Linked DNA regions of Tamandua tetradactyla. The protein of the gene in region 1 purifies or fractionates together with the protein of each later gene. This does not show direct contact. Links are inferred from orthologs where the notes say so. Each region holds a gene or a part of one and is shown in the gene's direction. Other genes may lie near its edges.

What was found. Proteins that work in one complex are often made in the same cells at the same time.
Region 2: the proteins of protein argonaute-1 (region 1) and FKBP5 purify together in Homo sapiens (affinity purification with mass spectrometry; 6 studies listed by BioGRID and IntAct, with this or other methods). This does not show direct contact. The link is inferred for Tamandua tetradactyla from reciprocal best matches to the Homo sapiens genes AGO1 and FKBP5.
Region 3: the proteins of protein argonaute-1 (region 1) and STUB1 purify together in Homo sapiens (affinity purification with mass spectrometry; 3 studies listed by BioGRID and IntAct, with this or other methods). This does not show direct contact. The link is inferred for Tamandua tetradactyla from reciprocal best matches to the Homo sapiens genes AGO1 and STUB1.

What each region holds. Positions count from the first base shown.
Region 1 is NC_135328.1:189,483,079-189,491,256, reverse strand, and holds the start of protein argonaute-1, read left to right. Parts: upstream 1-5,038; 5' UTR 5,039-5,246; coding exon 5,247-5,271; intron 5,272-8,178.
Region 2 is NC_135331.1:92,296,812-92,304,126, reverse strand, and holds the start of FKBP5 (peptidyl-prolyl cis-trans isomerase FKBP5), read left to right. Parts: upstream 1-4,198; 5' UTR 4,199-4,388; intron 4,389-4,815; exon of another isoform or gene 4,816-4,899; intron 4,900-7,315. UniProt on the Homo sapiens protein: Immunophilin protein with PPIase and co-chaperone activities. Component of unligated steroid receptors heterocomplexes through interaction with heat-shock protein 90 (HSP90).
Region 3 is NC_135349.1:56,698,636-56,706,337, reverse strand, and holds STUB1 (E3 ubiquitin-protein ligase CHIP), read left to right. Parts: upstream 1-4,721; 5' UTR 4,722-4,815; coding exon 4,816-4,968; intron 4,969-5,507; coding exon 5,508-5,706; intron 5,707-5,795; coding exon 5,796-5,961; intron 5,962-6,161; coding exon 6,162-6,249; intron 6,250-6,308; exon of another isoform or gene 6,309-6,336; coding exon 6,337-6,393; exon of another isoform or gene 6,394-6,490; coding exon 6,491-6,820; 3' UTR 6,821-7,085; downstream 7,086-7,702. Other genes in the region: RHBDL1 (rhomboid-related protein 1), read left to right, coding at 1,686-1,724, 2,035-2,196, 2,342-2,566, 2,636-2,784, 2,896-3,008, 3,076-3,176, 3,251-3,311, 3,385-3,656; JMJD8 (jmjC domain-containing protein 8), read right to left, coding at 7,123-7,203, 7,278-7,412, 7,505-7,572, 7,658-7,702. UniProt on the Homo sapiens protein: E3 ubiquitin-protein ligase which targets misfolded chaperone substrates towards proteasomal degradation.

The sequences.
Region 1 (8,178 bases):
CCCTTGTATTTGTTATATGTTATTCTTTTTGTTGTTGTTTGGGTACATGGGCCAGGAAACAAATATGCTATTCTTTTAGTGTCATATAGTATAGTAATTAAGAGTGTCAACTCTGGAACCTTACTGCTTGGGTTCAGGGTCTGCCTCTGCCAGTTGCAAGCCATGTGACCTTGGGCAAGTTATTTATCCCCTCTATGTCTCTGTTTTTACAGTACCTGCCTACTGGTTATTCACCTATTTCTTCTCACCCCATGCCCACTCATCTGTTCTATTATGCCTCAGGGTTTTTGTGAGGATTGCATAAGTTAATATGCATTAATTAGAACAGTGCCTGGAACACAGTAAGCTTGTTATAATGTTAATTATTGCTATTATAATTTTTCTTAGTCTGTTGTAGAAATCTATGTGCTAGTATTTTACCTGTGATTTTTACATCCATATTCCTGAGATCTCTTTTTCGTAATATAATCATGATAAAAGATCCAACTCTTTATCAGCCATTATGAACAAATTAAGAAAACTCCCCTTCCCTCTTTGTTCTAGAATTGTCATATAGCATGGAACAGAATGATCTCTTTCAGGAATATTTGTAAATAATGGTGAACCTTTTGGGCGAGACGTTCTTTGGTCATTTTCGATAATTTTTTCCATGTCCTCTTTAGTTGTTCCTCAGTTTTTGCTTTCGTATCCTTGCTTAGCATTTTACTCACGGTTTTAAATTCATTAGCCTATAATTACATACATAATTCCCTTATATTGTTAAACTCTGTAATAAGTTTTAAAATGTGGATGTGATGGATATGTTTGCTATCATGATTATGGTAATAGTTTCACAGTCTTATACATAGGGCAGAACTGATCAGTTTGTACACTTAATATATGTGCAGTTTATTGTAAATCAATTCTACCTCAATTTAAAAAGTAATTTAAAAAATCTTACCAGTTTTATGTATTTTCAAAGAACTAGCTAATATTTACTAATTCCATTATTCATGATTTTTGATTTTTAAAACTATTTCGTAGAATATGTAAGAAATATGTTTACCGTAGATAAAAGGGATGATGCGCTGTTAATGATTCATTTCCTAATAATAGGGTATACAATTTGTTTTTTATCTATTAATTATGTTAATTTCATTGTTACCAGGAAGTTTTTTTAATATTAAAAAGAGGAAAATATAGATGGGGATGCACATTTTTTTAGGCTGTTCTTGAAGTTTTGGAGCCAGGAAACTCTGGGTGTGGAGAAGGTATATAGATGGAAAGACCTGGGCTCTGGCCAACACAGCAGTGGCCCTTTGATGTGGGTTAGCATTAGACTGACATGTGAGAATTGATTTGAAAACAGGGGATCCAACAGATTTCTGGGAAGGTACATTAAGTATTGCTGGAAGAAGTTTGTCAGCATAAACATCAAAATGTTTTCTGGATTTCCCCCTACCCTGTAGGCGTTGCAGCTGTGGCTGCTGTGTCCCAGCTGTGTCACGGGTGGCAGAGAGGAAGAGGCGCCGTCTACACTGAGTGTTCTTGGACCATGAGTCCCCAGAATGCTGGCAGCCTCACAGCTCCAGCCCAAAAAAAAAAAAAAGTTTTCTGGATTTCCCTTATGTCTACCACTTTGTCAAGCCAGGTGTGAAATTCCTGATAATGGAGATACTCTTCAGGAAGACCTTTATGGGCCAGGGTCAGGCTTGACTCCACTAGCCACTCTGGAGATGAGTGAGAATAGTGGCCAGTGCCTTTCCTCAATGAGGAAAGGACATTCATATGAGGCTGGACATTCACAGCAGGTGATTTAAACCCTTCTTTTTGGATGCTGAGCTCCCAGCTCAGTTAAACCAGGGCAAGGGTCTTGCTATTTCTGGGATTTTTTTTTTCCCTGCAAATAGCTTTACTTTTTACATTTGGTTCATGGCTTGTTAGAGGGCTGCAAGGTCGTTGGTTTAAAAAAATGCCTCCCATGTAAACTATTTAGCCCTGTGAATTATTATATTCCTAGTTAACTAATTTTCATTAAATTTTTGTCTTTGAATCATTGAAAAAAAAAAAGATGCCTCCAGGCTGGAGGGAGGGGCTCAGGCAGAAGCCTGGATGCCCAAGGAATACTGAGGGGTCCTCTGGGTTCCAGAGGCTCTTGGTCATGTTTGACAGTGAGCCTTTCAAAGAGATCATCACCCAGCCTGGACTGTGGGCCTGCCAGCCTGCAGAAAGTGGTTAGGTGGTTGCTCATCTTCTTGATGAGTTTCACTTCATCATCTAGGAAATGTCTCTCCAGGAAGTCACAGAAATTAGTATCTCTGTTGGCAGAACCCAGGGCATACAGATCTATAAGGATTTGGTTCAGGTTCTTCTCCAGGGTCATGGTGACTTCCATGGCATCTAGTGTTTTACTCCACCACTTCTACACATCCTGGAAGAGGGTGTGGCTGCTGTGCTGGCTTTGTATCTTCAAGAGATGCTGGGTACCCTCCTGCTACTCTTTCACCATTTTGTGGAAGAAGTGGTCCGTGCCTTTTAGGGCTGCAATCTTCTCAGTCAAAATAGAAGCCCAGAAAGAGATAGGTGTAGGAGGCCCCTACATGCAGGTTGACTAGGCAGTTGACGGAAGACTTCATTTCAACAGAATAGATCTCAGGATCTGGGAACTCATGGTTAGTTGGCAATGAGGACCCAAAAAATGGTGTTAGCTGTTTGTGGAAGCAGGGAATGGCTGAGAAGATGGTCCTTGAGCTTGCAGCTGTAGAAGTTGGAGAGGGGTCTGATGCTGAGGAGGGATGGGGATAGTCCCTGGGCGTGTTCTGTCCAAGTACTGTGAAAACATGGGGCAGATCTATGGGATGGCCAGGTAGGCTGTTGTAAGGAGTTTTTGATGCAATCTGTTTGGTTCAGGTCAACCCATATTTACTAATTACTTTAGGCACAGCTTGTGCTATACACTGAAGAGGACAGATATGCATCTGATTTGGTCCCTGCCCTTTAGGAGCTTATGCTTAGAGTGTGGGAGGCAGACAATGATTATGATAGTAGCTAACATTTTGCTTGCATCTTCCAACCCGTATTCTGAAGTCTTTATATGTATTCGCTCATTCAATCTTCACAGCAGCCCAGTGAGATAGGTACTTTTACAGAAGAAGAAATTGAGGCACAGGGAAGTTAAGTGATTTGTCCAATGTTACACAGCTTGTAAATGGCAGGACCAGGAGCGAAATCAAGAAAGTGTGGCTCTAAAGTTTTTGTTCTTAACCATTAGTATATACTACAGAATAGTAGTTTTCAAAAGGTAATCACAGACCAACAACATCAGCCTTACCTGGAAACTTGCACATCCTTGGGACCCACTTCAGTCTTACTGTATTAGAAACACTGGAGGTGGGATTCAGCAATCAGTGTTTAAACAAGCCCTCCAGGTAATTTTGATGCTTGTTTCAGAATCTCTGCTGGAGAGAAGCAAGGCATGCTCTGATGAATGTCAGAAATTAATCTCATTGGTAGGCACTATATATAGTCCATCTCTTAAGTTCTCAGACCTCTGCAAAGAATCTAGTGTAAAAGTAGCACCAAAAAATACATTTTGAATGAATATATGGGAGAATGATTTTTGAGCTGGATCTCATACCACCTATCAGCAGTAGACTTTTTGGGAGGAAAGGTCCCAGAAGGTGTATGGCTAGCAAGGAATTTGTTTTGATACTTCTGGCAAGATATGATGAGTCTGCACCAGCAAGAGGGTCCTCAGGATGGCAGGAGAATCAAGTGAGAGCAGTAGAGAAGGTGAACATGTCAGGACTTGGTAAACAGCTGAATGGGGGAAAGAAACAAGAGAAAGAGAGAGAGAAAAAAAACTGTCCTTTCTAGGATGAAGTTGCCACTCACTGAGACAAGAAACACAGGTCAAGCACGTTTGGGTGGCAGAAGACAAAGTTCCATTTTGAATTCCTTAAATTGGAAGTATTGGTAGGATATTCAAGTGGAGCTGTCCAGCAGACACTTGGATGTATGAGTCTGAGTCATGGCTAGAGATGGAGGTTTGGGAGGAGAGTTGAGCCAAAAGAGTCGATGAGACCCTCAAGGGAAGAGTGGAGAGTGGAATGAGAAGAGAGCTGGATTTGGAAGCACAGTGAACACTGTTACTAAGTGAGGCAAAAGAAAGAGGAGGCTCTTGAAGGAATCTGGAAAGGAATTAGGCAATAGGGGACTTCAGAAAATGTAGAAGCCAAGGAGAAGGATCAAAAAGAAATAGGCACAGTGTCAGATACTGCAGAGAAATAAAATAAGAGTTGTAAATTATCATTGGATTTCGACGCAAAAAGTCATTTAGGTGACGTTGGGAAGGGGCGGGGGCAGAAGCAAATTGGCAGAGTTCAGAAGAGCTATAGATGAGAAAGTGGAGGCAGGTGCCTCCTGAATCCCGCAGATAGAGCTCTATAGCCGTACTTAAGTTGAGACTGTGAGGCAGGGTCTCTTTCGTATTAGTGGTCTCAGCGTCCAGCACACGGCCTGGAGGAGAGGGTGGCGTCAATGAGTTCAGTGACTAGGGACGAAGAAAGACTTCGCGGAGACAGTCATTTTCCAGCCAAGGCTTGAAGGATGAGGATGATTGGGAGGAGAGGTGGGAGGCAGGGCTCCTGGATGGTGGGGCGTTCAAGTGCTTGAGGGGGGACTGGGTGTATGTGGGGTCCCTGTAATGTGCTTGTGGCTCTGTATGAAGGAAGGGCTGTGTGTAGGTTTGGAAGGTACTGTTTGAGGAAGAGGTATGGGGCTAGAGGTTGCTGCGGGGATGCCTCCCTCCTTTCTCTTCTACCCACCCCTACCCCATTTATGCCGCTGCGCGGTTCCGCGATTCCTGTACCGGAGCCCTCCTGCCGGGCTGCATAGCGACGGGTGACCGCCAGGGGCCGCTGCCTCGGGTCCCCCGTGCTCCCGCCCCCCCCCCGGTGCCCCCGCCCCTCTCCATTGGCCTTTGTTGCCGTCGGAGCGCCCCGCTTGACTCGTTCCCGTCCGCCCCCTGGGCCTGGCGGCTGCGCCTGCGCACTGACAGCTGGCCGGGTGCTCGCAGTGGGAGCTGCTGCAGGCTCCGCCGCGGCGGAGGCAACGGAGGCTGCGGGGGCGGAGGCACGAGCGGCCGGGCTTGGGGGGGGATCCGAGCCCGGCCCGGGAGCCCGAGCTGTGAGAGTGCAGGGTACTTAGGCCCCTCACGCTGGACTCCACAGTCTCCGGGCCGCCTGACCTCTGCACGGGTATATGGGATGGAAGCGGGACCCTCGGGAGCAGGTAAGGGCCCCTGGGAGTGGGGGGCGATGCATGCTCCAAGGACCAGGGGGCTCCTGCGTGAGGAGTGGGGTTTCCGAGCAAGGGGAGCGTTCTTTAGTGAGGAGAGGGACTCTCATGGGATAGGGGGCCCAGTTTGAAGGGGGCTATGTGCAGTTCCGGGGAAGAACCTTGTGAAGAAAGCTCCGAGATAGGGGGCCGTTTGTAAAAGGAGGCTGTATGCAGTCCTGGTTATGGGAAGTAATCTGTGAGAAGGGCCTGAAGGTACGGAAGGACTCATGGAAATCCGGGGAGGCCTAGGGAGAGGCCCTGCAGGTGGCAGAGGGCGGGCTCCAGGTATTCAGGAGAGGAGGGGGGAACACACAGATGGGCCCGGAGCTGCCGCATGCGGGGGGCGGGGATTCAGCTGGCCTGGGTTGGGCTAGTGTCTCTTGGGAAAAGGCTCCCGAGCTGGGCTTTGAGCTCCGCCCCAGGCGGGCTTGACGCGGGGGCGAGGGTCAGGGGGCGGTGGGTGGGGACCCAGCCACGGGATTCCCCCGGTGAGTCTGGGGAACCAAAGCGGAGGCGCGGGAGCATGCGCAGAGATGGCAGCTGGAAGGGGCTGCCTGATATGGGGGCGTGGCTGCCTGAGGCACCCCACCCACCCCACCCCACTCCACCTAGTTCTGGTTTGGTTAGGAAAAAGGAGCACGGGTTGATGGGGTGCATCTCTAACGTTATGTAGGCAGAGGACAAATGGAAATAGTCCTCTCTTAATCTTAGGGTCTTTTTGCACTTGGCCCCTCGCTCTCAGTTTTCCAACAGTGATTTGGGGGAAAGTGCCAATGTCCCTTTCTTTGCCACTGGTGTGAGAAAAGACCAGGACTGAGACTGTGTTTCAGGGAAGAGGGATGGGGCGGGTTCTCCTTGAAGATAGGCCTTAGAAAGATTTTAATTACAGAGAAACTATGACTAGGACCAGGTATACCTGGAAGGGGTTGTCTGCATTGTGAATGAGTTTCTGGACCAAAATTGAGTAGAATAGGAGTTTTAATACAGGGATAATGATCTTTCCATTGAAATGTCTCTTGAAGTGATTGCCTGATCTCTTCCTATACTGCAATATTTTCATGACTTCTAACCACTACTGGGTATCTTTGGATCTGTAGTCTTTCCTTCTTTTTCCATTTCCCAGAAACTGTCAGGACCATGTCATTGGACCCAAGGTTGCCCAGCTAGCCTATGACCACAAACACGTTGTTTAGGGTGGTTTAGTTTTTAGCCTGTACCCTGGTGTGCTGAGTCCCAGGTGATAGCTCTAACTTCTCCTTATTCACAGGCACTCGGGAGAAAGGGATATAAGAACAGAGAGAAACCGAGACAGGGCTTTCCCAAGAAGCCTGGAGTCCCCAGGATGGGCTGCTGTGTGCTGGCACCTTCTGTGTCCTAGGTCTCTTACCTGTGATGGGAGGATGAGCAGTCTGGACCCGGGAATCCTTTAGGATTCACTTCCTTCCCATCTAGAGATGGGAATAGGATTTCTATTTGGAAAAGGAACCTCATTATGTTTCTGGTGCAAGGATCTTTGTCTTTTACCCCTTACTCCTTCAAGGAAATAGCTTCTGTCAACTAACTCAAGTCTTGTATTCAGTGGTCTATAAGCAGTTGGTGACTGCTAAAGTATGGAAATAGAGTACAGGGAGCAAATGACATCAGTAGAAACTACTTTCTCCTTCCCTCAGGCCCCTCTTCCCATCTGAGGAGTGCCCCTGGTCTTCTAGGCTGGATCCCATTTGTGACCACTTTTGGACTAGAAAAAGGGATGGGTCACAGAGGTCCAAATGGATTTCTGGAAGCTAGCACCACATCAGACTGCTGGTAAATTCCTAATTGACTTTGGAGTGACTAAAAATCTTTTTTTTTGTTTGTTAACAGAAAATAAGATTCTAGGAAAGGGGGTAGATCCTGGTGTCTCGAGTCTGTGGTAGCCTTCAGAAGAGCCTAGTGGAACAGGCTTTGCCTCATCAACTGGTGTAAATGAAAGTTAGTCTGAAAGCTTTGGCTGGAAGGACCCTATAACTGCTTCCTCCCCACCAGAGAATTTTCTTGGGATTTGAAGTCTTGTCCTGAGGAGGCTCAAAAACACAATACACAAAGGCTTTGTTACTGGCCTCACTGGGCTTATCCCCAGGTATGCCTACTGTGTGTTCCAAGCATATCTATTGAACCGGATGCTCCCTGAGGGCAGAAGCACTGATTTATCTGTGGAACCAGTGGATGTGCCTGGCATAGGCCCTAACACAGAACACGTTTGTTAATTGAATTGAATCATGCTCAAGTGTGAACATATATGGTTAATCTTATATGTGGTTATATATTCATATGTGGACACATCCTTTTTGGATTTGTTTACCTGCCAACTTATCTAGCCTTGAGTTTGTATCTTTTGAATAGGTAGTCTGAATAGGAAGTATGTGGGACTCTGAACTGCAGGGAAAGATTCCCTGAGCCAAGGCTTTCAGCTCTGTTACTTTTCTTTCTCTGGGCTAGTTGGGGTTGGGGGAGGGGGAGTGTCCTTTTCAGGGACCCTCCCTCCTTGTTTCTGTCTGCAGGGAAGGGCCCAGCCCCTTTTCCCCAAGGCCCAAGCTTTGTCCTCTGAGCTGGGGCCCTCATCTGCATCACAAAGTGGCCGTCTGTCCCTGTCTGGGTCTGAAGGGAAGTGTCTCCCTCTTTCAGACTAAACGCTGGGGGTGGGGTGAGGGGGATATTGTACAGCTATAAGGCGTGCAGGGGGATGGGATAGGAGAGAGGTTCCCGCCTTCTCCTGCCTTCCTGAGTTCAGAGATAGAGGGAGGTGAGGGATCTCCTGTTTTCCCGAATCCTCCTTTGAGTGGATGGTGTTCTGAGACTAAATTTGGTGTGTAATACTAT
Region 2 (7,315 bases), on another chromosome or scaffold:
AACTGGTGGGAAATGAACCCGGGTCTCCGGCATGGCAAGAACTCTGCCTGCTACGCCACTGTGACCACTTTTGAAAATTTTAATGTCAGTTATTTGTCCACATCCTCAAGCATGTTTTACTCATCTCCCACCGTCCTGCAGAGCGCGAATCTAGGTTCTGTATTACCGCCGTACATTGCTGACAGTTAAAGCCTCCTTTATCTTAAAACATCTCTTTAGGGTGTTGAGCATCTGCGTTCCCACACCCAGCAACAGGCAGAGCCGGGTGGGTCGCAGTTTGGAATTCGTATGAGAAAGCACTCAATGTCCCTTCCGTAGTGACATTCTAGAATCCTGTCCTTTCCCTAAGGCACTGAAAGTGCTGCCTTGGCTACATAGCCCAGGAGGCCGCCACCTCTAATAGTTTTTTAATGGATTCCTTAGGATTTTCCTATATACAAGATCATGTCATCTGCAAAGAGTTTTAGTTCTCCCTCTCCGATCTGGATGCCTCTTATTTGTTTTTCTTGCCTAATTGCCCTGGCTAGAACTTCCAGTACAGCGTTGAATAGAAGTGATGAGAATGGAATCCTTGTCTTGTTCCTGATCTCACGGAGAAAATATCCAGTCTTTCTCCATCAAGTGTGATGTGACTGCAGATTTTTCATAGATGTCCTTTATCAAGATGAAGATTTAGGCTGCCTGTTTTAGGAAATAAAGCTTTATTAGAACACAGCCATGCCATTTGCTTATGTTTTGTTTATAGCTGCTTTATGCTATTACGACAGAAGTTGTGTAGTTGTGACAGAAATCAAATGGTCTGTAAGTCTAAAATATCTGGCCCTTTAGGAGAAGTCTGTTGACATCTGTTTTAAGCCCTCACATTTTGGGATAGTTTGCCATGCAGCAATATATAACTAAAACAACTCCCAAGATTTTAGACTGTGTCTCCAAAGGGCTGTACCACTGGGTAAGGATGAACTCTAAAAAAACAAACCTTCCCACAAATTATAGCCCAGTTTGAGTGATCTGGGAGGCTTAGAAAATCAGAAGCCTTGAAATTGGGTTAAGGTGATCCTAGATTGCTAGTACCCCAGATGCCTGGCAGAAGCAAATGGAAATTCTTTCCAGAGGAAGATTTTAACATCATTACCTCAAATGATTTTTCAAATACAATGTTCAAAGAAATAACCAGGTACATGAAGAGACATGTAGGAAGAGCCAGCAGTAAAAAGTGGTAACAGAAACAGATCTGTAAGGAGTCCAGATTGGTATTATCAGACACAGAATGTAAAACAACTAACTTACTATGTGTAAGGAGAGAAAAGCCAAGTTTGAAAATTGTAGCAGGGAACTAAAAGGTCTGAGAAGTGACATAGCAGATTTGAAAACAAATTAAACTGAAATTCTAGAACTAAAAAACAGCATAACCAAGTTTAAGAGCTCAGTGGATGGGTTTAAGAGTAGATTTGTTTTTAAAAAGCTGAAGAGAGAGCAAATGTGCTGAAAAATTGTGAAGACACTTCACAGAACAAAGCAGGGAAGAAAAAAAGACAGAAAATACAAAAGAAAGGGCTGTCATGGGAAGGTGTAATATCCTTCTCCAGAAGGATAGAAGAAAAGAGACAGAAACAATATTTGCACAGGCAGCAGCTGAGAATTTTTTTAAAGCTGGTGAAAAGCTGCTCCAAAGCTGGCAGGCAACCATGAAATAACAACTGCCCATTCCTTAAGGTGAGCTGGCTCTTAGAAAGGTACACCTCCATATACCAAGCTGCCTTGGGAAGATTCTGAAACCAACATGGATGTAGCTGTACAGGAGAAGAAATAGGGGTTGGGTGTGCTGAGTTTAAATACAAGCTCTCTCACTTTGCGGCTGTGCCACCTGGAGAAGGTGGCCAAACTTTAACTTTCTCAACTAGTAAATTGGACTAGTAATACTGGCCTACCCTACATTGCCCTTGTGAGAATCAAATGACATATAGCACGTGAGCAAACCTAGCGAATGCCTAGAGCTTTAAAAATGAGATGTGGTTTGAGTAGTAGCAGGCTGGCTATACATATGCTTGGGGGCACTAACAGTGACAGGGGCACTGTTGGGAACAGCTACATAATTTGCAGGGTCCAGTGCAAAATGAAAATGTGGGGCTTCTTGTTGAAAAGATGATTAAGAGTTTCGCGATGGCAACGGTAGAGCATTAAACCAAGCACAGAGCCCTGCTAAGTGTGTATTCCCAGGCAACTGTCTAGGTCACACACCTATGAAGCTTGCCAGCCCTGGTGACAGCTCCGCAAAGAACGGCTCCGTGTGTTGGGAAAGGGCTACCCATCCCTCATTCAGGTTTCTGCAGCCATAGACCATGTCATAGTTGAATTAAAACTGAAGGGCAGCAATTTTTAAGGGAAATGCAAGCACATGTGCTTCCAAATGCCGAAGATGAGGGTAAGTACAGCCACGGGAGTGGTTTTCTGAGGGAGTAGGTGGGGCCAGCCAAGCTGCCATCAGAACTGTGGAACTGACTGTTCCCCACAGACTCTGGCCGAGAAAAAAAAGAGAAAAAAAAAGGCTGCAGCTGTATCTACAGGGCCTGCTGTTGTTTGCTGCGGTGTGTTACAACACAGCCTGGCAGCCTCCCGGGCCTTTCTGTCTTCCTCCTGGAAGAGCCTGGTCCCAGGGCATGTGACTCAGCCACACAGCCCTGGAGATTGGTCCACATGGCTCCTCACTGTTCCCTCCACTACTAGGCTTTTCCAGGTCTTGCTTGGAAGTCCCTTTACTTCCTCTCTCACACTCGTCTGTCTGGCAAACACCTACTCCACCTTTCAAGACTCAGCTCCAGTCCTCAGTAAAGACTTCCCTGTTTCCCCCAGGGAACCCTGTCTCCTCCCACTTTGGGGTCCTTCACAAAGCCCCTGTGACATGAAGAGCACTGACATGTTATGTGGATGTCATTGTGCCCTAGGCTGAAGCCCCCAAGGGCAGGGCTAATGTCTTCTCACTTCCGTTTGCTCTGCACATACACAGTGCTTAATACTTACTGTTATTATGCACATAAGATGCCTAGTAAGTTGGTGTTAGTATGTAGAGCAGTTTTAATAAACATTGTCTTGCTGAATTAAGGCATGAACAAATTGTCCTGATTGTCTCCTGGTAGTTGGGAGAAGCTGGTACTTAGTAGCTGGTAAGATGGGAAGCTGCTAACTACTGAGGATAGCTAAGTGACTAAGACAGGATCCTGTCTGTCGGTGCTGGAATTGCCATTTTTGAAGGGTCCACCTCTTGAAGGCAGGAACAACTACAATCTCAACCAGTGCGGTGACTTTCATAAATACGTGATGCCCATCATGATATGGTGGCTAGAGGGCTGATGTGGGGGCCAGGAGATGTGGATTCTAATCTGACTATGGGACTTTTAGATTCCAGAAGTAATTATTAGGTCTCATAGGTAACTAGTTTTGGCACTTCGGGTTTCTTTTTCCTCAAAAAACGAGACGGTTGAGTTGGGCATTTCCTAAGACCCAGGTGCAGCTGATAGATCTCAATGGGAGCCAGTCAGGTAACCATCTAATTGGATGGGGGTGGGCTGATGTTGAAGTTGAGTTTGTGCAGCAGATTTATGCTTTGTGGGGAGAAAACGGCCATTGTTAAGGCCTCTTCCTGTCTCAATCCTTCTTAATGGTCTGCGATCTCACGTTTGGAAGGTTGGAAGTCAAGGGAAAGTATGGTGTCCACAGTCACTGGGTGTCCAGAGAGAGGTACTGTGTGCTCAATTGGTTCTCAAGGTGGGATTTCCCCAGTCCAGGCATCTTCACCTTCTTAGTTCATTTCCTGGGGCAGACCTGGCTGGCTCCAGACACGGACAGCTTGGTCTGCCCCTCTCCATCCTCAGGGCACGACCGGTGGCCAGACAACGGCGACGGAGCTGTCAAAGAGATATGAAGTCAAGTAGCTTGTTTAGGTATCAGTTTCTTTGGAGTAAAGGAGAGCGTGAGGAGGTGTCGGGAAGCTTCCTCCCTCCCTTCTCTCAGGTCCCCACAAAGGACAAGAGCCAGACACGTGGGCTGGGGTGGGGGAGGCGGAGGTTACATTCAGGCGGTGATGCAAATGAAGGGGTGTGGCCTTATCTGCGCGGACAGCGCGCTGCCACCAATCCCGTCACGCGGGGCTACAGCCCGCGCGCCTTTTGGGGGCGGGCTGACAGCCCCGGGGCCCTATGGGAGGCGGGTCCTGCGGCCGGCGGGAGCGGGACGGCGTCGGGCGCTGCCCTGGGTTTTCAGGCCGGCTGGCGAGCGCTGCCAGTCTCTAGTGGCGGCGTTCGGTGTGCCGGCGGCCTGCTGGGCGGGCTGAGGGCGCTCTGCTCGCGGGTACGGCGGAGGGAGACGGAGACGACAGGCAACCGCGGCGACAGGTACCGGCGCCATGGCTGCAGGGATGGGGCGGGCGGCCGCGGCGCCCCGGGAGCCGAATTCCCTGCTTCTCGGTTCCGCCGCCTCCCCGCCCCCCTCGCGCGGCTCCCCTTCCCTGGAGCGGCTAGTCGGGCGGAGCGGGGTCGGGGAAGCTTGGAGGTGAGCGCTCCCGGGGCTCCTCCAGCCCCATTGCGGGTCCCTGGGCGGCTCCGCGTGCCCCTCGCCGCCCCGCCCGGGCCGCAGCCCCTGCTTCCCCGCAGACCGCGGGGCCGGTGTTCCCTCCGGGAGGCGCGCTGGTTGGGCGCCCGCCGCGCTCCCCCTCGCGGAGGCGAGGCAGGTTGCGCCTGCTTGTCCTCACCCGGCTTTTGTTTCCCGCCCGGGGTATCAGGTCCCGACTTCGGCGGGCGACCACCCCCGCCCCGACTCGCCCGAAGCCGGGCGGGCGGTTGACTGCGGAGCGCCGCAGCAGCCGCTCGGAGGAGGCGGCGGGATCCTCCGAGAGCCGGGCGGAGCGTAAGTAGCCGCCGCGGCGGGCGGGAGAGAAACTTCGCCTTCGCAGCCGGGGGCGGCGGGAACATTCGAGCCCGGGGTTGAGCAATGCTCTGGGACGGACGCGCGGCGGGCACTGTTGAGACTTCCTCACCTTGTTGGCCCCGTGGAGGGTGAGGATAACGGAGCGTCCTGGCCGCTGCCCTTCTCGCTTTCGGTTTCCGCTCTCCCGGCGCGGCGGCCCCGGGGTAGCCCACCCGGGGGCTTTGGATGGGCGCTCACCCCTCTTCAGCTGCGCCCTGGGAGAAGGGACTGGAGACAGCATCCCTCCTCCACCGCCACTTGTTGAAAGTGCCAGCGCAGCGCTGTGGCAACGAGCGATTTGTAGTAGTCTGGGATGAGACGAAAGCGCATTAAAAGTTGTTTTAGGATTCCCGATCCTATTCACACCCGGGACTAACGCCTTCTTCCTTTATTGATCATTTATAGGTGTCCCCGCGAAAGTATATGATTAAAAACCAGTACTGAAAAAAAAGACTCATGAGGGTCAGAATGTAGATTGCCTTTTTTAGATTGACGTTTTAATCTCTTTAAAAATCTGCAGATGTGCCGAAAGCATAGTTAAGGTCGGAGCTGTAAGCGGAGAATGAAGAACTCTAGATATCCCTCAGGGTGATTCGGGACAGCGTGTCCTCCCGGTGGCCGCCATTCGTAAATTCTGTATGAAGACGTTTGAGCTCGGGGATTTGGATTTAGTTTTTAGGAGTATGTTTTCCAGCGGAACAAGGCCTAACATTGAATGGGCGCTTCCTTGGCCTCTGTGAGGGCAGCTCTTATAGGAGTATTTATTTTTATTGTCTTCCCATTTTATTAGATTGTGGACAAGGAAAAAGTGAAGGCGTATGTTGGTTAAGTGTTTGTAGTAGTCTATGGGAATTCTGTGAGCAGCCCCTGCCCCCCATCTCGGATTTTTACTTTAGAGAATTCTAGTAACTGAATTTCTTCCTGTGTGAATCAAAACTCAAGGATAGATTTCAAAATATTCTTTGATGGGAAATTTTTATTCTGTCATGCTTTCACTTGTTTTCTTTTTATCATTCTTCCACCTAACCTCTACTTAGTCTACAATTATGGCCCTGATCAGTTTAGGACATCTATAGAAATACATTTTTTTAATGTGCGTTATTAATCCTCATCATTTGTGAGAAACACTTGATTTAGTTTAGTCGGTTTTTTCTTCTAATGTGTCTTCTTTGACATGTGTCCTGGGAATGATTTATATCTCAGAGATGTTAAATTTAACTTCTTAAGAGCAAAGTTATTAATTTTGATTTAGATTAATTATGCTACTTTACTTGTAATTATGTGAGAATTGTTCTTATTTACCTAACTGACCAATAACATCATGAATGAAAGGTGACCTCTTTAACCAGCAGATAATTTTTGACTATTTGAGATTTTCAAAAAATAAAGGAGATATTTGAAATGTTTTGTTTCTCTACAACAGCAGGCTTAAATGTTGTGAGATCTTTGTCTTCCAACTTTTGATGTTTCTGAATCTTTAGTTGTTTTAGTTATGGGAATTTGGGGTGGATTTCTTTTTTAAAAATGATTTTAATCAGTTCAACATAAAAACTTAAAATATTGCATTAGACAACGAATTAAATCTTCAATTTTCTATTTATTCCTGGATTAGAAGAGAGTACTTTTTGTTTTTTTTTTTAGTTTCCTAAACGTCTGAGCTTAGAATGAATTAGTCCAGAGAAGAAAGAACATTCTTTCCATGGCCATAGAAGCTATTGCTATTAAAAGCTGTGTTGGTTTTTTGGTGCATAGCGAGGGTAGATTGACTGAACAATTACTCCTCCTAATGTAGTATTTTTTTAAAAATATATATATAGATAATTGTAAGGAATCTTAATGAGACTGAGGTTCTTAATTGTTTTGAGTGGTTATATAATTGTTCTTTAAAGTGTATATGACTATATTACTTTAAATACTACTGTGGGTAATTAGAAGTTGAGGTCCTTATCATGTGATGAATGCCTAAATGTATCATATATAAATTAAAATTATATTTCATAGATTTATTTAAACAAAACCATAATTTAGATAATTTAAGTATAAAAGGACCTTTTAATTAAAAACCCATTTTAAAATCCAGGTTTTATGTCTTTTAATTACTGATTTTTGTTCACTTTAAGTTGTGGTAGACCATATCATAAAATTATCAACCACATTTCAGTTTCAAAATTAACGTAAATTGCATTCTCACATCTACACAATAAGCATTTGTTTTTAAGTCAGTTATCCTTATATGTCTCCTTTTGAATTTGAGTGGGTAGATATTTTTAAAATAATTACAACTACAAAGAAACCAGAGACATATTAAAACAGCTAAGTTAGAAGATAAATTAAAGGACACTTTCGTAGACATTAA
Region 3 (7,702 bases), on another chromosome or scaffold:
CATGGGGTTGGTTTTACAATTAAACTTCAGCTGTGCCCTTTCCATCTCAGATCCCCTGTTTTGAAGACAGTTTTTCTGAATGAGCTTGAAAACACATTTAATTTGGCATGGGCTGGAAACCCGTTGCTTCTGCCTGTTTCCTCCAGCCCCGGGAACCCCCCCCCCCCAAGGGCCCAGGCACAGGACCTGAAGCCTGTCTGTCAGGGGGGCCTGCAGCCTCAAATCACCCTGCTGACCCCCACCCTATCGGGGCTGGCTGTGCCCTGCCTCCCCTCCTGGATTCTCTGTGGGCAGCTGGCCTGGCTGAGCCACATCATGAGCCTGTGGGCTGGAGGTCTGGCCAGCGATGGCTGGGACATGGGGCCGTTCTGTTCATGCTGGCACCATCAGTATTGGTCAAGCTGGTTCCTGGCCAGGGGCTGTCCATTCCTCCTACAGGACAGTCACAATCCCCTGGCTGAGGGGAGGGCTGGCTTAGGGTAGGGGGGCCCATCAGCTTCGCAGAGCAGCCCCGTTGGGTGTTCCTGGCCCAAGCCAAGTGCCATTATCTGCTGGCCCCGGTGCTTGGGGGCTGGCACCCAGAACCCCACGGCAGAGGGAGGGGGAGGAGCCAGGGCTGCCTCTGCACCCCAGGGCCCTTCCTTGGCCCTGTCCGTGCCCTCCTGTGCTGGGCAGACCCCTGAGCCAGCCAAGTGCTGTGACCCGCTGGGGAGGGCAGCTGCCGTGTGGGGCCACTCAGGGCTGGTCCTGGAGGGTCTTGACTGTGACCCTTGCACTGCTGGCCTCCCTGGGCCTGCTTCTGGGTGAGCAGGAAGCTGCATCTGGCCTGATGTTCCTGCCCAGGGCTCAGCAGCCTGGAGCAGTGGCCCCAGTGGGAGTGAGCCCTGAGCTCCGACTGGCCTGTGGAGGGGTTGCTATGGCTGCCCATCCCCTTGGTCTCTGTCACACTACTACCCGGGTCTGTCCGCCTGGCCTTCAGAAGTTCTGGCTGCAGCCCTGCCTACCTGGGACTCTGTCCTGCTGGCCCAGACCTGCCTAAGAACCCTGGGCCAGGCCCTGGTGTTCCCTGGGGCTCAGCAGGTTGGCCGTCCAGCACCTGTGGCAAGGACGCTACTGAGCCCACGATGGGGCAGGCTGGGCTGGCTGAGCAGGGCCCCGCGGCCTCCCCTCCCCTGGCCCGCGTGGGTGGCAGCAGTGGCCTTCCCAGGCATAGGGTGGGGGTACCCAGCAGGGGCTGGTCTAGCCAGTGAGCAAATGAGCCAGAGGGAGTGGGAAGCGCGGATGCCTGAGGAGTGGTGGCCAGGAAGGCTGCCTGCTGAAGATGACTGCACTCCGAGGCTGGGGCTCCCTGAGATGGGGAGGATGGACACTGGGCAGGTGCAGCACGGGAGGAGACTAGGGCGCAGCAACCTGAGTCAATCTCAGCCGCTGAATGCGGGAGGCGAAGCTGCAACCCGGCTCCGCGGTGGGGCGGGCGGCGCGCGGGAGCCGCGTGCATGCGGGGCGGTGCCTCTGCGCGCCGGCGGGCGGCGTGTGCAGCACGGAGCGGGCGGGGCGGTGGCTCCGTGACGCGGCCCCCAGCGCGGCGGCGCCGAGCTGAGCAGGCGGAGCGGGCCGGCCGGGGCGGAGCGGAGACCGCAGAGCAGTCCGGCCCGGCCCGCGGCCGCCCGCCCCGGCCCGGCTCTATGGACAGGAGCTCGCTGCTGCAGCTCATCCAGGAGCAGGTGCGTGGGAAAGGGGGCAGGGGCGACGCCCACCCCGCGAGGCCCTCCCGGCGGCTGCGGCGGGACTCCCCCGAGAGCGTCAAGCCCCCAGCCCCTGCACCCCGCCGTCCCCTTCCCGCGCGACCTTGGCCCCTGCGTTTGCGCCCCCAGAAGAGGATGAGTGGGAGACCCACCCCTCCCGAGACAGGGTGGAGCTGAGGCAGGCAGTCCCTGGAGCCCCCCGAGCCCGAGGACTGCTCGGAACCTGGCCCACCCCTGTGGTGTGGGGGGCCGGGCTGCCCTCAGGCCTTGGTCACCCCTCTCCCTCCAGCAACTGGACCCCGAGAACACAGGCTTCATTGGTGCTGATACCTTCGCTGGCCTGGTGCACAGCCATGAGCTGCCCCTGGACCCCTCCAAACTGGACATGCTGGTGGCCCTGGCCCAGAGCAACGAGCAGGGCCAGGTGTGCTACCAGGAGCTGGTGGATCTGGTCAGTGCCAGGCGGGGCGGGCAGCGGGGGCTGCGGGGGTGGGCAGGGGTGCCTTCCTCCCCACCCTTCCTGCTGGGGAGGTCTTCTGGGCAGGGAGGTGCTACGGGAGGGGCACCATGGCCCACGCCCAGGCCCCGCGCCCCAGATCAGCAGCAAGCGCTCCAGCAGCTTCAAGCGCGCCATGGCCAACGGGCAGCGGGCCCTGCCCCGGGATGGGCTGCTGGACGAGCCGGGCCTGGGCGTCTACAAACGCTTCGTGCGCTACGTGGCCTACGAGATCCTGCCCTGCGAGGTGGACCGCCGCTGGTACTTCTACCGGCACCGCAGCTGCCCGCCCCCCGTGTTCATGGCCTCTGTCACGCTCGCCCAGGTGAGCCGCGCCCCTAGGCCGCGAGCTGCCCGCACCCGGCATGCCCTAACCTTCGGGCCCGCACCCCAGATTGTCGTGTTTCTGTGCTACGGGGCCCGCCTCAACAAGTGGGTGCTGCAGACCTACCACCCCGAGTACATGAAGAGCCCCCTCGTGTACCACCCCGGGCACCGCGCGCGCGCCTGGCGCTTTCTCACGTACATGTTCATGCACGTCGGGTGAGTGGGACCCGCGGGGGCGTCGGCACCGCCGAGCGGGGGTGGGGGGCGGGGACAACCGAGAGTGCCGCGCCCCTCACACCCTTGCGTGCTTCTGCCCCGCGCGGCCAGGCTGGAGCAGCTGGGCTTCAACGCGCTGCTGCAGCTGATGATCGGGGTGCCGCTGGAGATGGTGCACGGGCTGCTGCGCATCAGCCTCCTCTACCTGGCGGGCGTGCTGGCAGGTGAGGCGGGGGGACGGGCGCACCCCACCCGCCCGCGGGCCGCCCTCACGGCCTCTCCTGCCCGCAGGCTCCCTGACCGTCTCCATCACCGACATGCGGGCCCCCGTGGTAGGGGGCTCCGGCGGTGTCTACGCGCTCTGCTCGGCGCACCTGGCCAACGTTGTCATGGTAAGGGGGCGCCTGGGGGCCGGGAAGGGGCCGCGGGGCCGGGCCTGATGCCGTCTCTATGCTTGCCCCGGCAGAACTGGGCGGGCATGCGGTGTCCCTACAAGCTGCTGAGGATGGTGCTGGCGCTGGTGTGCAGTGAGTAGGGGGCTGCCGGGCGGGCGGGCCCCCCACCCGGGGCGCCTCCCCAGCGCTGCGCTTGCCTCCGCAGTGAGTTCCGAGGTGGGCCGGGCCGTGTGGCTGCGCTTCTCCCCGCCGCTGCCCGCCTCGGGCCCGCAGCCCAGCTTCATGGCGCACCTGGCAGGCGCGGTGGTGGGCGTGAGCATGGGGCTGACCATCCTGCGCAGCTACGAGGAGCGCCTGCGGGACCAGTGCGGCTGGTGGGTGGTGCTGCTTGCCTACGGCACCTTCCTGCTCTTCGCCGTTTTCTGGAACGTCTTCGCCTATGACCTCCTAGGCGCCCACGTCCCCCCGCCGCCCTGACGTCGCGGCCCCGGGCAGGCGCGGGGGCAGTGCGCCCACCGCCCCGAGCGTGCGCCCCGAAGCGGTGCCCTCCTGCTGGCGGGCCGCCGAGCGCTGCAGCCTGGGGCGGGAGGCCCCCGAGGAGGCCCCGGCCCGGCCCCACCCCGGGACCTGCAGACTGAGCCTTTTTGGAGAACGAATAAATATTCTACACGGCACCGGGTGGCGCTGCCGGGGCTGGGGGACTCGTCCGGCGCCCACCGCCAAGCGGCTGGAGCCGGGGGCGGGCAGCGGGGCGGTGCGGCCGCGGTTTCCAGGCTCCGGCTGGGAGGGGCAGAAGGAACCCGGGCGCGCCTGCTCCCCTCCGCCGGCACCGCGAAGGCCGCCCCTGCTCCAAGCCCTCGGCCCTCGAACAGCCGGTGACGAGGGCTGCCCACGGCCGCTTCGCCCTCGCCGCGCCACGGCCTCCGTGACCGGCGGGCACGAGGGCCGGAAGGTGGCGGCGCCGAGTTCGGGGTCACCATGGAGCACGAGCGGCAGCCGGGCCGGGGTCGCATGTGGGGCACTGGGGAGGCGAGGCTGCACCCCCGCTGCCCTTTCCCTCGACCCCGGCCGCTCCGGTGCGCCTCGGGTCACGCGCTTGTTGGCCGGCCTCGAGGACCGCGGCGAATTCTCCGGATGCCTGGACGGGATCACGGGAGCCGGGCGGCGGGGTGCGCCCCGCCTGCCACCCCATCCCGCCCGCAGGAGGGCGCGCAGCGAGTCTGCGCGCCGGGGCGGGGCTTCGCGGGGGGAGGGTCCAATCGGGGGGCGGGGCTCCGATGGGAGGCGGGGTCGACTCCGAGGAGCCTCGGAAGCGCGGCTCCGTGCACGCGTGCAGCCCACGAGCCTCGAGAAAAAGTACTCGTGGCGTCAGGCGGGGGTCGGGCAGCCCAGCCGCCTCAGCCTCGGGGCCTCAGGCGACCCTCGCGGCCGCCACGTTCTCCTCGGCGGCAGCTACCGCGTAGCCCCTCCCCGTCGCGAGGCGCGTCGCGCACGCGCGGCCCCGCCCCCGCGCGGCCGGAAGTTCCGGTGGCGGCTCCGTAGACCTGGCCCGAGTGGATCCCGGGCTTCGGCGGGGCCTCGGGCGGCGGGTGCAGGGCGGGCCGGGCGCGGAGCCCAGGCCGGGCCGCGCGGCGCCATGAAGGGCAAGGAGGAGAAGGAGAGCGGCGCGCGGCTGGGCGGCGGAAGCCCTGAGAAGAGCCCGAGCGCGCAGGAGCTCAAGGAGCAGGGCAACCGGCTGTTTGTGGGCCGCAAGTACCCGGAGGCAGCGGCCTGCTACGGCCGCGCCATCGTGAGTGCGCCGGGGCCCGGACGGGATCGAGGTCGGGATGGGGGCGAGGGGCGGGGCTCCCGGCTCCACCCCGCATCCAGCACCATCCCCTAGCCGGCCTCCCAGCCGGTCCCGCCGAGGATCTCGGCTCCTACCTGCGGGACATGGGCCCCGAGCACTAGGTAAGCCTCTTGTTGTCATTGGGCAGAGGCCGGGGCTGTCGAGACCGGCGCTCGTGGGTTAGGCTTCAGGGTACCTGGGGCCGGCTGGTTTGGAAGCTGGGAACTCTTACCCCGTGGGTCCCTATAGGTTTGGAAACTCAGTTACCAAATCAGTTTGGGTCAAACCAGGATAGGCTGTCAAGCTTCAGGCCAGACTCCACCCTCAGCAGGTCCTGACCCAACAGCTTTGGCAGCTTAGAAGCTTCAAGCTTTTTTCACCCAGTTATGGACCCTATAGCTGGGACAGAACCAGGGGCAGCAGGGCATCAGCTTTTTGGGGCAGAGGTCCCAGACTGAGCTCACTCCCTCATGCCAGTTGACCCAGCTCTTGGTCCCCAGACACGGAACCCCCTGGTGGCTGTGTATTACACCAACCGGGCCCTGTGCTACCTGAAGATGCAGCAGCTTGAGCAGGCATTGGCTGACTGCCGTCGCGCTCTGGAGCTGGATGGGCAGTCTGTGAAGGCGCACTTCTTCCTGGGTCAGTGCCAGCTGGAGATGGAGAGCTATGACGAAGCCATTGCAAATTTGCAGCGAGGTGGGCCAACAGGCTGGCTGCAAGGGCGCCTCAGTCTGGGACTGGGTGGGTGGGTGGCCAGAAGGTGACTTGCACCTCCACTCCCCCAGCGTACAATCTGGCCAAGGAGCAGCGGCTCAACTTTGGGGATGATATCCCCAGTGCTCTGCGCATTGCCAAGAAGAAGCGCTGGAACAGCATGGAAGAGCGGCGCGTCCATCAAGAGAACGAGCTGCACTCATACCTGACACGCCTCATCATGGCTGAGCGTGAGAGGTGGGTGGGGCAGGCCCTCCTCTAGCCCATCACCCACTTTTGAGGTTAACTGAGTCACAAACAGAAATGTTTATGGGAGATCAGTGCTGGCGAGCAGAAAGCAAAGGAGACAAGGTCTGGGCTATAACCCTGAGGCTGGAGTTGTGGTCTCACTTCTCTTGCCCAGACCCATCTCTGACTAGTTCCTGGTCGACCCCCAGGGAACTGGAAGAATGTCGGCGGAGCCACGAGGGTGATGAGGATGATGGCCACATCCGGGCCCAGCAGGCCTGCATCGAGGCCAAGCACGTGAGCGTGCCACCAGCCCATGAGGCCCGCACAGGGGGAAGGGAGCTGCAGTGTCCGGCCATTGCACAGCTTTGTGTTTATTTGCAGGACAAATACTTGGCAGACATGGACGAGCTCTTCTCGCAGGTGGATGAGAAGAGAAAGGTGAGGCTTGAGGCTGCTCTGTGCCCTGGGGCCTGCAGGTGGCAGGGGATGGAACAGTGTCCCCTCCCCAGGCCCTGATCCCTCCCGTGTGCCACAGAAGCGTGATATCCCTGACTACCTGTGTGGCAAGATCAGCTTCGAGCTGATGCGGGAGCCATGCATCACACCAAGTGGCATCACCTATGACCGCAAGGACATCGAGGAGCACCTGCAGGTGAGGCCTGGCAGGGCAGCAGGGTTGGAGCCAACAGTTTGCCCAGGGGGGCCAGCTGAGCACCCTTGGGCCCTCTTGTCACTGCAGCGTGTGGGCCACTTTGATCCTGTGACCCGGAGCCCCCTGACCCAGGAACAGCTCATCCCCAACCTGGCCATGAAGGAAGTCATCGATGCATTTGTCTCCGAGAACGGCTGGGTGGAGGATTACTGAGGGAGGACCCACCAAGGGCCACTCCCCGCACTCACTGCACCCTAGCCCAGGACCCGGGTCCCGGTCTCTGTACATAGTTTGGGTGTCTGGATCCCAGTCCCTCACCTGCCTCCTCCGCCATTCGTTCTGCTGTTGGCTCTGGACTGTTTGCGCTCAGCTAGGGTGTAAGCCTCCCCCATCTCCCTCAGGCCCAAAACAGCAGGCAAGGGTTGGGTGGGCTGGGGCCACCACCGCCACTGCCCTGGAATAAAGTCTGTGAGCACTACGTGGGCACATGCTGGCTGTGGGAGGCTTGGCAGGTGCTATCCAAGGAAAGTAGAGATGAAGACGCTGGTGTCAAGATTGAGGGTGGCATGCCACCACCGATCAGGGAAATACAGCACCTGGTACACAGGAGGAGGGGCCAGGATGAGTCAGGGCCTCAGCCTGGCCTGGCCCCCTCAGGGCAACCACAGACCTCGCCAGGGCGGATGGTACACTCCAGGGGCCGTTCCAAGGGCGCCAGGGCTGGATACACATCCTGGAGCCAGGCCAGTGTGGTTTTGTTGGGGTGGAACTCTGGTGTCTTCTCTGGGGGATACAGGAACCAGCGCTGGGGTTGAAGGTTGCGAAATCATTCCTGAGCTCTGGTGGCCAGTGAGCTCCCAACCTCAGTCCCCGCCACCACCCCCATCCCACGCTGACCTTACGACCATAGATGACTTCCGAGTACCCGGGCCCATGCCAGTGGAAGGGCACCCCAGAGCCAGCTCCTGTGGAGTGAATCAGTAGCAGTTAATGACCATGCTGACCCCCCCCCCCAATGCATAGACCCCTTAGTCTCAAAGGACCACTCACCTGCGATTCCAAAGCTGTAAGCAGGAGTGGTGCCCAGCAAACCAA